4 linked regions of the Nothobranchius furzeri genome follow. Each later gene encodes a partner of the first gene's protein in a complex. Links are inferred from orthologs where the notes say so. Each region holds a gene or a part of one and is shown on either strand. Other genes may lie near its edges.

Region 1 (2,472 bases):
CAGAGACTAAAGAAACTTCCAGGACAGCAGATGTGAATATTAAAGTCTTCCAGTAGCAACTGTGTAGGTTCCACCACTTCCTGCTTCTGTTTTCTGTCCCCAGTCTCAGGGTCTGAACGTAAAAACATGAACTGATGACATGTGGTTAGCGTGACCAACAGGTGTTGAATATTTAACAGAGTGGTGCATGAGTGTCACTGATGTGTTCCTTCAGGTTGACGTGTTAAAAAGGTTTCCTGCTTTAAAGGCTGATGCAGGTGCCTCCAGTGGGGTCCAGACTACTACCAGGTACGTTAGGCCACCACTTTCTACTCATTATTAGAACTGAACATTTATTTAGCAGGTATTCTGTCTTGTCCAATCATGTTAAAGCCTCTGAAACGAGGGGAGGTTGTCAAAAATGACTTTAGTTTCCAACAATTTTATGCTGCCGTTTTGTTGTCTGCACTTCCGCTCCATCTGACTTTAGATTTTACTGTGGAAACGTACAGATAGGGCTGGACAATTATATATATATATATATATATATATAACCAATAGACATGTGGTTCAATAGAAAACAAATGGATCAATAAAATGTTCCTTTTTCCATTACAGCCTATTGGATAGCTTCATACTAGTCACTACTTACACCCAGCCAATCCCCTCTCAAACCTAAACAGACAGCAGTGTGATTTATACAAGATGTTGCAGCAAGGAGAGGAGGAAGAAATTGTCCCAAAATAGATTAAAGTACTTAACCAAACAAACAAACAAACAATGGTGGTTTGCAACACAGAATTGATAAAAACAAGTCTGGTAATGCAACCAACGTGTTTTAACATGAAGTAATGGCCTAAGATGGCCAGGGGCCCAGGGCTGCGCGTAAAATGTATTTTTGACATTTTTATCGATGAGCTTGTTGTCTATATTGTCCAGCCCTACGTTCAGAACTTATAACTTTAAATTCTGGAGATCCTGACTGTAGCTACGATCTGTCTGAAGGCTGAAGAGCGCTGAGCCAGACGGGGAGACGGCTTCCTCATCAGGTGAGAGAGTCAGCCCTTCCTTCAGCATGAACCAGTGGAGGCTTTGGGTTTTTATTGTTTATGTTTAGTTTTTAACACTAGCTACTCGTTTCTGGTTCCACGATTCTCTGTAGCTCATTTCATCGATGGGTTTAAGCTTCTGATGAGAGAAAATAGCGATGCACTGGAAAAGTGTTTTTTTATTGAGCACTTTCATGCAAATGTTAACTATTTATTTTGTGTAGTGCAATTCACACTCTGACTGCTAGGTGGCAGCAGGGTTTACCGCCTTTATCCTGATGGAACGAGATCACGGGGTAACTCTTGAGTCTTAGAAGCGTTTTTAATTCAGACTTAAAAATATTGTCTGACTTTTGGCGTCACAATGCATCAAACCACTGGATACTTGCCAGTTCACACTCCTAGTGAGTATTTTAAAGCACTGTAGTTTAATTGTATACAGAAAATAAACCTGTCAGTGGTGGATGTTGCATCATTAGTTTTATTTTCAGATTACAGAAAAGTGAACACCCTCCTGCAGGCAGCAGAAACGGAGAAGAGCAGCCTTCAAGCGGAGGTCAGGAGGTTGAAGAAGGAGCTGGAGAGCTTTGACCCAACACTCTTGGACGAGCTGGAGGATCTGAAGTATAACTACAACCTGGAGGTGAAGAAGAACATCCTGCTGGAGGAGCAGCTGAAGAAGGTGTGTGACCAGTTTGGGGTCCAGGCTGAGATGCCCAGCGTGTCCATCAGTTAACTGAGGGTCTGGCACACTAACGTAGGTTAAAACGCAGCCCTTATCCTGTTTGTTCCACAATAAAACAATGAGGGTTTAATATTAAACTGGTTCTTTTATGTTTTCTATACAGCAGCTTTTGTCTTTTCTTAACTCGTAGGTTTACAGTCATTTCTCATGTAACGTATTTATAAGTGTGTCAATAAAGGAACTGCCTTAATCTGTCAAATCTGCCATTTACTCTTCACACAAAGATTTTCTCACCCAGCTGGCAAGTCCTTCAGGTCGGAGCTTGTAGGACGGGGACACCTCGTCCCTTAAAGACCACTCTCATGAGACTTCTGGTTCCTCAAGTGTCAGGTTCAGCAGAGCGAATACCCCGGTTACGACTCTAACTGGACATCCTGAAGCCGTCTGAAGCTGTGTCCATTTAGAGCTGAAAGAGCTGTGAACAAGGTGTTGGTGGAGCTGTAGGCATCGACCCGAACCACCACCGACCTGCTGGAGAGGTGGGTGTCCCCAACTGGCCACCGGAGACCCAGGTGGTGACGATGAACCTGCACACACACACACACACACACACACATCTGTGTAGATAAGTTGTTTTAGATGGAACCACTCAGCTCCTCCGTACACTCAAATGTAAATTATTGGTTTGAATGCGTCAGTCTGACGGCACATAGAGACTCCACACCTTGACAAGGGTGCCGTCCTTACAGTGCCACACGA
Region 2 (3,959 bases), on another chromosome or scaffold:
CAAACTGCTCCTTCTTTTTGATACTTGGACGATCTATGATTGAATTACTCAAAGACTTTGGGTCATGTGAAAATGCTCATGCATCTAAATAGGAACTTTGGAAAATGAAAACAGAGATTTTAATGGAACATTTCTGCAGCTTTTCCTTTCATTTAAACAAAAATCCTTTTGCAGCTAATCTGGGCAGATCTCAGATCAGGGGTACCCAAAGTGCGGCCCTTAATGATTTTGTACATGGCTGTTACAGAAAATATATGGAGAATAAACTTAAAATGGAAAATAAATTAATAAACCCACGATTCTGATGGGTTTCACAAGGAAAACTCATGAGACGCCTTTAAAGTTTTATTGATCATTTTTTGCATAAATCTGAAATATTTTGGTATTTTCATTAATACGTTTTTATTTTTATTTTGAGCTAATCATCAAATAAGTGTGTTACTATTTGAATCCTATTTCATATTTCATATTTCAATCTCAGGTGTGTTCCTTAAGCAGGTACATTGAAGGTTTCTCTGAAAACTTCATTTACTTTTTGTTCAACATCTCCCCAAAATCTCTTCAAACGATCAAAAAGTCCTCTGAGCAACCTGGAGCAGCTCTCATAAAAGCCGTGATTCTTCACATGAAATGTTCTGACACTTGTGTCTGCTTCACCTGCAGGACTCACCTGTAAAGTCACAAGACTGTTATGTAATGCATAATTATAGTTTGTGTTAGGAATGTATATATAACTGTTCAGACACTTTACACATTTGTGCAAGTATCAAATAGAAAATCTATAGCTCAAGACAACTTGAATACTCTGACATGATAATTTTCTTAATTCATCCTTCACTGAAGTTACAAAGCTCGAAAAGTAAACCATGAATGTATGTGTTCTCCAACTTTTATCTTAATTAAAAATATAGCATTTTACGGGTAGAAACGTATAAGTAAATTTAATCCTGACTAATTTGTGGGAGAAAGAAGTGAGCCACACTGTTTGCTTTGAGCTCTTGCAATAAGTTAGGAAAATCCAAGTTTATGTTCGTCTTTGAACGCAGCATTTGGGGGGAGCTACACTCATTACGTGCTATAGCGTTCTCGTGTCCTTAAATTTCATTGGTTACATTTTTGTTTGTTTATCTACGTCGCTCCGCCCGTACGTTGTTGACTTGGAAACCATCACGGCGTTGTGCGGTAGAGGACAGTTTAAGCGTAACCCGCGTTCAAACAAGGAGTTTCAAGTAGAAAGCTCACATTAACTTATTAAAAACAATTATATGGTTATATTTTGGTTCAATAATGTATTTCAATAACAAAGATATAACTTTTTTAGGCGTAGTACGTGACCAGAGCAATTTAGCTAGCAACTAGCTAACTAGCTTCTGGTGAAATAGCTAACAAATATTATTAATAAAACATCTCGTGTGTCTCCGTTAAGCGGACACGTTCTAGTATCATTAAGTGAAACTTAATGCTCACTTTAGAGTCGCGAATGTGAGCTGCGACATTTTGCTTTGTATTTTAGATACGCTTTTTTCTGGATTATTGGCGTTTTTCCCTCAGAATGAGAAACAGCACGATGTTTGAAAATGCCAGGTGAGTGTTCAGCTGTCCTGAAGCGACTAAAGAACAATTTTTGTGAATAAATCAATTAAAAAATATATAGAAATTATTTAATAACTAGTAAACCAGTCAAATATCTTTCAGTGACCACCCAATCCAGAGATTAAAGTTTTACACTAAATAAAAAATATATATTAAGTGTTATTGTTAAATTAATATTAAAATCCTTTTAATTTATTACATTCTCTCAGATTATTTGATGTTGTTTTGTATTTTCATGGAAGTCAAACAAAACCAAAGCTGGCAGTAGCTCAGGAGGTAGGGCAGGTTGTCCAGCATCCAGAAGGTTGCAGGTTTGATCCCAGCTCCCGCCAGAGAATTGTGTCGTTGGGCAAGACACTTAACCCATCTTGTGGTGGTCGGAGAGACCGGTGGCGCCCGTGTTCAGCAGTCCCCCTTCTGTCAGTGCGCCCCAAGGCAACTGTGGCTACATTGTTGCTCATCATCACCAGCATGTGTATGTGTGTGTGTGAATGACTGATTGTGTTGTGGTGCGCCTTGGGGGGTTGTTGAACCCTAAGAAGGTGCCGTACTATTACAGGCCACTACCATATGTAATCAGTGTTTTTTTACAACCACTTACAAATTCAGCAAATGATTCTAAAGTGTTTATCTCAAGCAACTTTTGTAATCAAGAATTGTATAGATAACAAAAAATAAACATTTCCAGGTGTGAGTGAAGAGACCCGGGAAAGATTTAATGAAGTCTTCAAAAAATATTCAGGATCTGAGAAGAAAAAGTCAAAGAAGAAAATCCATGAAGCAAACGAGACCATAGTGGTAGGTGTTCTGACATGTGCTGTTTTCCACCCAGTGGTTGTCATCAAATGTTCTACATTCTGGCTGCAGTGTTGTATTCAAACTTGAGTTATTTATGAAATATAATTATAGAAAGCATCTGCAACAGAAGAATGTTCTATTTTCTTTAATGTGAACCAGTTCTAGCAATTTAAAATATTAATAAATCACATGTATTATTATTGTCGATCTCTTTTTTCAAAGCTTCAGAATCTGACCAGGAAGCTGAACCTTGAGAAAGACACAGAAGATGACGAAACCATTCTGCAAAACACATATGACCCTGAACAGGGCAGCCCTCGTTATTCCAAAAACAAACGAAGAGAAAAGGAAACAGCAGAACAGGTTAACTGTAACAACAGCAAGGATGAAGAAGTTAAAGCATCAAAAGCCAAAAGGAAGAGTAAGAGGGACCTCCCTTCTTTACCTGTACCCAAAGACATTCCAGAGGACTTACAGGAGGGGGCAAATGCTTCTAGAGCCGACAATACTTTGAATCCAGAAGCTGCTGTTGGTGAAAAGAAACGAAAAGGAAAAAGTAAGAAGGGAAAAGTCAGAGAAAATGTAGAAGATGTTGCAGAGAGTCCGGTGGAGGATCCAGAAGATAAACTACTGCATGAATACCAGCAGCAGATGGCACAGGAAGAGGAGCTGACTGTGAAGAAAACAAGGGTCAAACGGGAAACTGTTAACTCACAAAGTGCTGTGTTGAATAATGATATGGGGAAGAAGAAAAAGAAAAAGCTGAAATCTGTAACAACTGAGTCAGATGTAGGGTGTGTATTTCTCTCTAATTTTAGCTTTATTGTAGTTTTTGATATCAAGAATAAAGTTTAAGCAGCATTTTGACTTTTTTTTTCTTTAATCAGGGATCAAGATGAGGAAGTCAATCCAGATGCTGATGAGGAAAATAAAACTGAATCAAAGGGAAAGAAGAAAAAGAAGAAGAAGCACGGTAGTTTTTTAAAACAAAGTAATTTGTGTAACATAAAAAGAGATTTTGATGAGTTATTTTTCTCAACTTTTTAGTTGTCAAAGAAGAAAGTGAAGCTGAAGCAGCAGAGGAGCAAAAGCCGACATTTGATGACGGTCTTGTTCTGGGAGTGTTCGTTCATAAAACGGATCGCCTGAAGACGGACTTACTGATCTCGCACCCCATGGTGAAGATCCACGTTGTTGATGAGATCACGGGCAATTATGTGAAGAAAAGGGACTGGTGAGAAGAAGTTATCTCTGATCTTATGCTGCTACACCTATCAGCGTTAAAATATTTGGGCTACAGTTTAAAAAAATGTTTTCATGCTCAAACATTTAATTAAAAGTGAAATCTGTTTGTGTTTTGAAGCCATCGACCTGTGTCTTCCTATTATGAGGGACAGAACGTCGACCATATCCTCCCTATCATGACTCAGCCTTTTGACTTCAAGAAGAACAAATCCATCATCCCCGAGTGGCAAGAGCTAATCATATTCAACGAACGCTTTGGCTACTTTGTTGAGCAAAAGGATGAAAGCCCCAGAGTCATCCTCTTCTTTGAAGTGAGATATACT
Region 3 (4,018 bases), on another chromosome or scaffold:
AAAAGCATGATGAAAATCAGTTTCCGTGGACGTGGTGGCTCTTTTCCATCACTGCAGCTAGAGGGCGCAGCATCCCGTTTCTATGACAACCAGCATCATCTCTGTCTTTTCGTGTGCACGGCCCAACGCCTCTCGTGCTATTTTCTAACATATTTAAATTAGTCCAACAGTAAAAAAATCAAACGCATCAACTTCAGCTTCCACGTTTTAAATGTTGTTTTGTTGTTATTTACACAGTGCCAGAGCTTTACTGTGACGCTGATATCATGTCTCCAAACGGAATTAGCACGCTCCATCATCACAGCTGGACACATCTGTATGCAGATGGCTTCATATCTGAAACATGGGGGGAAATCCGCTAAAACATCCAGACTGAAACTGCACAAATGGCTGAAGTGACTAATAAAGCCAGCGTCATACTCACGTTGATGCGAACCAGCGCGTCCATGATAGAAGTAAAGGTTTGGAACTCCGACTCGGCCATGATGCTTTCTCGATTTAAGCGACTCAAAAGGATCTCCTGGAGAAAACCCCGGCTGGTTGTCTTCTTCTCCTGGCCGCGAGGCAAAGCCCGGGCCTTGGCTGGTGCCGCTCCGCTGCTCACGCACGCTGGATCGGTTCAGTCTGCCTCGGGGGAAGAGTCCACTGGTGGGATGGGGGTGGGAAATCTCTGGCTCAGACCATCTAACAGAAACACATTCGTTTCTTATTGCGCTGTTTTGTTTTACAGGCACGTTTATCCTGCCAATTCCAATTAAACATGCGGTTGTTGTTTGTCTTTTTAAAAATAAAACCGTTTTATCCAACAGCGAACGGATCTGGTGGCCCTTTCTATTTCTTTCATTTTGTCTTGTTTTTTTTTTCGGGGAACCTGAATTTTCGGGTAGTTTTAAGCATTTTTATGATAAAAATGAAAAGACATCAGGTGTTACCATCAGATCGCAGTATTGATGAATAAAAAAAGCAAATAAATAAACAAATAAATAATAAATAAATAAATAAATAAATATCCAGCTACACGTCAAGCTACACCTCTTTTACTAACTCTGACCAGGAAAAATGAAACGCGCTGACTACCCACCGTTACTAAATAAGATGTTTGGGTTTCTCTGTTTTATATTATTTACTGCTGATTAAAAACTCTTTTACGTGACGCGTTCATGGTCAACGCGGAACCGTTTAGGTGTTCGTTTTTTTGTCCGGTCATTAAAACCGTATGCACATTGTCCGTGGTTGTTGTAGCAACCGTTAGTTGCGTCACAACGTGAAGTTTTTGGCTCTGTTAACGAACGAGACACAAAACTAAGCTATAGACTTCGCGAGTTTTTAAACAAACAAATGAATCAGCTGGTTTATGTCATTAGCCGCAAGATAAACAGATGCTAAAGTGTTCGTTTAAAGTTAGCACATTTAGCTACATGCTAGCCTAGCTTACTGAGTGGTTTCCGTCGCAGTAAACAAAAACCTTTTACTCTTTTTTTTACTCACGAGCTTTTAGAGTTTTACTTTGCTGATTAGGATCACCATGTCGGCCATCAGCAGCCTTGTTCCTGCTCGGTTTCTCACCATCACAGCTCATCTTGTCATTGTTATCACCATCTTTTGGTCAAGGGTAAGAAAAAAATGGTTTATCTTTAATCTGATTTCTTGTGCCTGATTTTATTTTCATAATGGAGAAAACTTTATGGGATTTTAGATCTGTGGTTTTATTAGACGTTGCTGTTATATGAAATACCACAAAGGTGAACACACAAACACATTGTTAGAAATTCTGCTTAAACATCAAAGGTAATTAAAACATATTCCTTGTTGTGTTATAAAACGTCATTTAAGTTCCAGGAAGTGTCCTCATTGACCCCTAACCAGCATGTTCTGGTTGTTTCCCTGCCCAAACACACCTGATTCAATGGTTGAGTCACCTGTTTAGCATGATTAGGTCTGCAGAAGCTGTTAATCACCTCTAGGGTTGTCACGGTGTGAAAATTTAACCTCACGGTTATTGTGACCAAAATTATCACGGTTTTCGGTATTATCGTGGTATTGTTTTAAACGTGTTACATTTTCAGGAAACTAAATAAACCCTGTATATCAGGAAAATATTGTCCTCAGTTTGTGTCTAAATTTTGCCTAAAATGTGTTATTTTGTAATTATGTTGTTTATTTGTTTACATATTTCCCCTTAAGTCTTTAAAATACCAATATTTGCCCATAACTTTTCTTATTTTATGTCTGTTTGATGTCATCATTTTAAAAATATTAGACCAGATGATACTCAGTACTCAAGTAGCCTTCTAATCAGATACTTTTTACCCTTACTTGAGTAATAAACCCTATATCAGGAAAATATTGTCCTCGGTTTGTGTCCTTCCAGTGAGCTTTGCAGATGTGGGAAAATGGCATCAGGCAGTAATCGTTGTTAAATTCATAATTATTCTCGGAGAGAGACCAACTCTTATCTGCCCCTGGGAGCCCCGTAATGCATAGCGTCATTTCAACATGGCGGTGTCCGCGACACGGTTTATATGCAGGTAGCGGCGCTGCGGCTGCTTTATATAGCGACTCGTTGCGTTCTCCCTCAACCCAAATCCTCGGATCACGCATTTTAGCTAAAGCGCTAACGTTAGCTTGCCTTGCGTTGACTGTAGAGTTGTGGGTGATGGTCACGCAGATGTGTCATGAGATTTGAAGCGTTGCTGCCTTTCACAGACACTTTTTCTGCTCGTGCTGCAAACAGGATAGCCGTCTTCTATCAGCTTTCCCTCGGCATTCTTCTGGTATAAAAAAATGCCCGTACTTCTGACTTTGTCTTCTTAGAGCGATAATAAATGTCCTGAGTGCTGCCGTCTCCTCCTTTGTCCGTTATTTCAGCTTTAGCTTCAAGAAAGTTTTGGTTGTAAACAACAAAGTGCGCATGTGCCGCCGGCAACTTCAGCAGATGATACGGTGGCTGGTAAGGGTCACCGCGCCTACACCGCAGCCACGGTAATCCACCGAGATAATATAGTTTTTAAAAAAACAAGACGGTTATTATTATTGTCAACTTTTTTACCGGGGTTTACCGCTACACCGGTTACCGTGACAACCCTAATCACCTCTTGGTTAAAAACAGCAGAGCAGAGAAACCACTGAAACATGCTGGATAGGGGCCCTCGAGGTGCAGGGATGGACACCACTGCTCTACGGTCAACATCACATCCAGATTATTCAGCCCTTGAAATAATTTGCAATTGTTTTTCTTTTTATAGGAAAATAATGTAAAAGCATGTTTACCACTGGATTTCACACCAGAGCAGTATGATACCGAAGACAAAAAGTGAGTAGATATGTATGTAACACACTCGTATTATCAGGTTCTCGGATTAAATGATCTCTTTTGTTCCCTCCAGGCTGGTGGTGGCGCTGGCAGTCACACTTGGTCTGTTTGTAATCGAGCTGGCTGGCTTCTTTTCAGGAGTGTCTATGTTCAACAGCACTCAGGGTCTCCTGTGTATCCTTTACTCATCCTTAATGAAATATATATATATATATATATATATATATATATATATATATATATATATATATATATACATATATGACCTTTAATATTCAACAGTAAAGCGACTTCTGGTTAAGGCTGTAACACAAAGAACACGCAGCAGCAGCAGCTAGTGGATAACTAGCTTAGCTCTCTCCCACTTGGTCGGTTCTCTCTAAAAGACAAACGGAATAGCTGAATAAAACCCAAATTACTATAAAATAAAGGTTTGTTATAGGTTAAAGAGTAAGGATGAGTGAATTTGTTATTAAAAAGCTAGTCACTCCCAAATTAACTTTTTTTTTTGCTGATTAACTATATAAATGAGTGTCAATAGTTTTGCTAAGAAATACACACACACACACAGGCTCACAACGACACTGTGACATCATATGGTACCAGCTAACGTTCTAGGGTACCTCTTAGCCAATAGCGATGGCAGATTTAAATTCAAATGCAGTGCAGAGTTTTTACCTGACAACGGCACGACACTGACAGTTT
Region 4 (2,875 bases), on another chromosome or scaffold:
AGGAAAAGTGTAAAAAAAAAAGGTGAAAACTTGACATCACATATTAAATTTTTTAAACACTTGTACAACACTTTACTCATCATTACAAATATCACAGGGAAACTTGCATGGTGTGGTATTAAATGGGAGTGTGTGTGTTTCATACTTGGCACAGCGGACCCAGTTGATGTGCTGGTTAAGAGAGAAGAGGAACTTCTGCCTGTGGACCGTCCACACTTTGATTGTTTTGTCATTAGACGCTGTGACCAGGCTCTGTCCATCACCGGAGAAGTTAACACAACGCACAGTGGCAGTGTGAGCCCTGAATTCAGTTGAATCAGCCTTCCTGCAAACACAAAAGGTATTATTCATACATAAAGCAGACAAACACACTGTTTATTCAGGGCGCTGGTATGATGAAATTAGAGTAATCAGCAGATCTTGTTCTTTTGCCTTTAGGAATCCACAGCTTTGTCTTGAGTGATAATTTCTGGAGAAACTTGATGAGAAGAAAACAACATAAAATGCTGCTACGTATAAACTTACATGCTGGGCACCCAGAGACGTACAGTTTTGTCTCTAGAGGCCGAGGCCACAAGGTGACCAGATGGAGAAAACTGGACAGAGTTTACAGCTTCTCTGTGTCCATCGAAACGATAAGCTCTCATCTGAGGCTTCAAGTTCCAGATCATCACACAAGAATCCATAGAGCCTGTGACTGAGAAAGGAGGAAGCACAAGCTGGTTGAAGCAAGAGATTGGTATTAACTACAATGTGCACACAACAAACTGGATAACAGGTGAATATATAGACGGACAAAGGCTCAGATCAAATAATAATAATATTACCAATTTGTTTCATGTTGCGGCTGAAGTCCACACTTGTCACGACGTCCCTGTGACCCTTGAAATTTCTCTCTAGGGTTGGATCAGACTATGATGAAATCAACAGAGATTTTCAATTATTTTACAAGTTTATGTTTGGAAATTATTTTTTCATTTGTTTTATGACCACTTTTGTTATTAAATGATATTTTCTTCTTTTTTGTATTTTATGTTTTATTTTTTATGTAATTTTCATTGAAGAACTTCATGATTTTCTTTTCTACAATAGGTTCTATATAAATAAATTTTACTTTCTTTAGTTATCCATTGAGTTATATAAAAGTTGCAAGATGAACAGTCATCAGGAAAAGCAGGAGAAAGCATATCTAAATAAATAGCTTTTTAGAATTTATAACCTTAAAAAATAAAGCACCATTGAGATGTAAACAATACATTAAAAAGTACAGTGCACTTCATTTGCCATCTTGTTGAACTTGCGCTGTTAAATAGTTATTCGGAAAAAAGTAAACCAGCGGTTCTTGTATACCCTTTATTCAGTCTTTCAGGTATGATTGTAATTTATGTAACAGCTGCTTCACGTCATTAATTAAATTGGTTAAAATTCGTAATTAGTTTACTAAATTAAAGGTTAAGTAATATTTTTTTAGCAAGAAGATATAAAAATGTGTCTCATTTGCCTTCAAAAATAGAACCAGCCCTAGACAGGAAGTGCTGCCTGACAGACTCTGCTCAGGGAGTGCTGTATTAAGAGCACACTATGGCAGGCTGGGTTACCAAGGAGACGTGAGCTGCGTTTGTTGCTCTGTAGCCTTTGATAAAAGCGGGCTCCGTGTGTCGCATGTTCTGGTTAAAGCGGACAGCTGTGAAATGGCAGAGCTTCACATTATAGGACAGATCATCGGGGCCAGCGGGTTTCCTCAAAAAAGCCTATTTTGCAAATGGGAAGTTCATACGGGGGGAGCATGGCGTCTTCTCTCGGGGCTGAAGGAGGGTCAGACTCAGGTGGATTCCCCCCACAGCGGAGAAATGGCTTACTGGAGCCACCCAATTGATCTGCACTATGCGACCAAAGGTCTCCAGGGCTGGCCGAAGCTTCATCTGCAAGTGTGGCACCAGGACTCATTCGGCCGCTACCAGCTGTACGGATACGGGTACTGCCACGTTCCCTCCAGCCCCGGACATCACCGCATAAGCTGTGTGACATGGAGGCCGCTCGGCTCCTGGCAAGAGCAGCTAGCACGAATATTTGTCGGCGGAGGCCCCCAGCTCCGCAACCCGGATCTGATTTACAGTGGAGCGGACAGATACAGACTGCACACCGAGGCCATGGGCACTGTGAATCTGGAGCTGGGCGTCATCATAAGACACTTTGACAAACATGGCGTCGAGAGCTGAGACGTCAAATAAGAATGTTGTATTGATTGTTTTCTTATAAAAAGTTTGTTTTGTCGCAAATGCCTTTGAAAAATTACACACGGCAAAGTTTTGTACATTTCTATGCTGATGTTTTTACACCTGAAATACAGCTATAAATAAACACTTATCATTGAAGTTGGTTTCTTATTCATCTACCGTTTACCATCAATCCAACTATACCTAATATTTCATATTTGTAACGTTATGAATATTTGAACATGTGTGTGTGTGTGTGTGCGTTAACCAAAACAAGTAGTCTACTACAAATCAGACACGAACTTCCTCAGTTGCTACAGTAACAAGTGCTAGCCAAACTCACCAGTGCAGAAGTCATTTTTCCCGGTATTTAGCACGTACACCCGAGTAAAGAGGCTCGTTGCTGCTTTGGCTATTATGACCGAAATACAATTGTTCTCAACTGTGGGTTTTGAAATGAACAGAGGGAGGAAAATATCGCTCCGGTAATTGGAATTGTTTTTTCTAATGCTAGCTGCTAACAACAGAGTTCAGTTTACGCGCCGTGATTGGGCGCTGAGCTGTTGGCCAGAGTCCTTAAAGGGGACGCTGGACATTAAAGGACGTTTGTGTCGAAAAAAGACTTCAATCAAATGTAAAAACGATGAATAACAAAATAA

Evidence for each region.
Region 2: cep290 (region 1) and ahi1 share a complex: the UniProt entries of both Homo sapiens proteins name them as parts of the tectonic-like complex. The link is inferred for Nothobranchius furzeri from reciprocal best matches to the Homo sapiens genes CEP290 and AHI1.
Region 3: cep290 (region 1) and tmem107l share a complex: the UniProt entries of both Homo sapiens proteins name them as parts of the tectonic-like complex. The link is inferred for Nothobranchius furzeri from reciprocal best matches to the Homo sapiens genes CEP290 and TMEM107.
Region 4: cep290 (region 1) and b9d2 share a complex: the UniProt entries of both Homo sapiens proteins name them as parts of the tectonic-like complex. The link is inferred for Nothobranchius furzeri from reciprocal best matches to the Homo sapiens genes CEP290 and B9D2.

Annotation. Positions count from the first base shown.
Region 1 is NC_091744.1:50,606,358-50,608,829, forward strand, and holds the end of cep290 (centrosomal protein of 290 kDa), read left to right. Parts: intron 1-214; coding exon 215-288; intron 289-984; coding exon 985-1,028; intron 1,029-1,489; exon of another isoform or gene 1,490-1,519; coding exon 1,520-1,764; 3' UTR 1,765-1,972; downstream 1,973-2,472. Other genes in the region: rlig1 (RNA ligase 1), read right to left, coding at 2,127-2,300, 2,438-2,472. UniProt on the Homo sapiens protein: Involved in early and late steps in cilia formation. Its association with CCP110 is required for inhibition of primary cilia formation by CCP110.
Region 2 is NC_091758.1:20,121,040-20,124,998, forward strand, and holds the start of ahi1 (jouberin), read left to right. Parts: upstream 1-1,159; 5' UTR 1,160-1,577; coding exon 1,578-1,584; intron 1,585-2,281; coding exon 2,282-2,391; intron 2,392-2,613; coding exon 2,614-3,185; intron 3,186-3,278; coding exon 3,279-3,364; intron 3,365-3,438; coding exon 3,439-3,625; intron 3,626-3,754; coding exon 3,755-3,947; intron 3,948-3,959. UniProt on the Homo sapiens protein: Involved in vesicle trafficking and required for ciliogenesis, formation of primary non-motile cilium, and recruitment of RAB8A to the basal body of primary cilium.
Region 3 is NC_091745.1:78,310,947-78,314,964, reverse strand, and holds the start of tmem107l (transmembrane protein 107), read left to right. Parts: upstream 1-1,218; 5' UTR 1,219-1,525; coding exon 1,526-1,612; intron 1,613-3,245; coding exon 3,246-3,313; intron 3,314-3,386; coding exon 3,387-3,487; intron 3,488-4,018. UniProt on the Homo sapiens protein: Plays a role in cilia formation and embryonic patterning. Requires for normal Sonic hedgehog (Shh) signaling in the neural tube and acts in combination with GLI2 and GLI3 to pattern ventral and intermediate neuronal cell types.
Region 4 is NC_091743.1:62,503,167-62,506,041, reverse strand, and holds b9d2 (B9 domain-containing protein 2), read left to right. Parts: upstream 1-1,253; 5' UTR 1,254-1,691; coding exon 1,692-2,219; 3' UTR 2,220-2,375; downstream 2,376-2,875. Other genes in the region: poc1a (POC1 centriolar protein homolog A), read right to left, coding at 146-325, 526-697, 828-912, 2,560-2,574. UniProt on the Homo sapiens protein: Component of the tectonic-like complex, a complex localized at the transition zone of primary cilia and acting as a barrier that prevents diffusion of transmembrane proteins between the cilia and plasma membranes.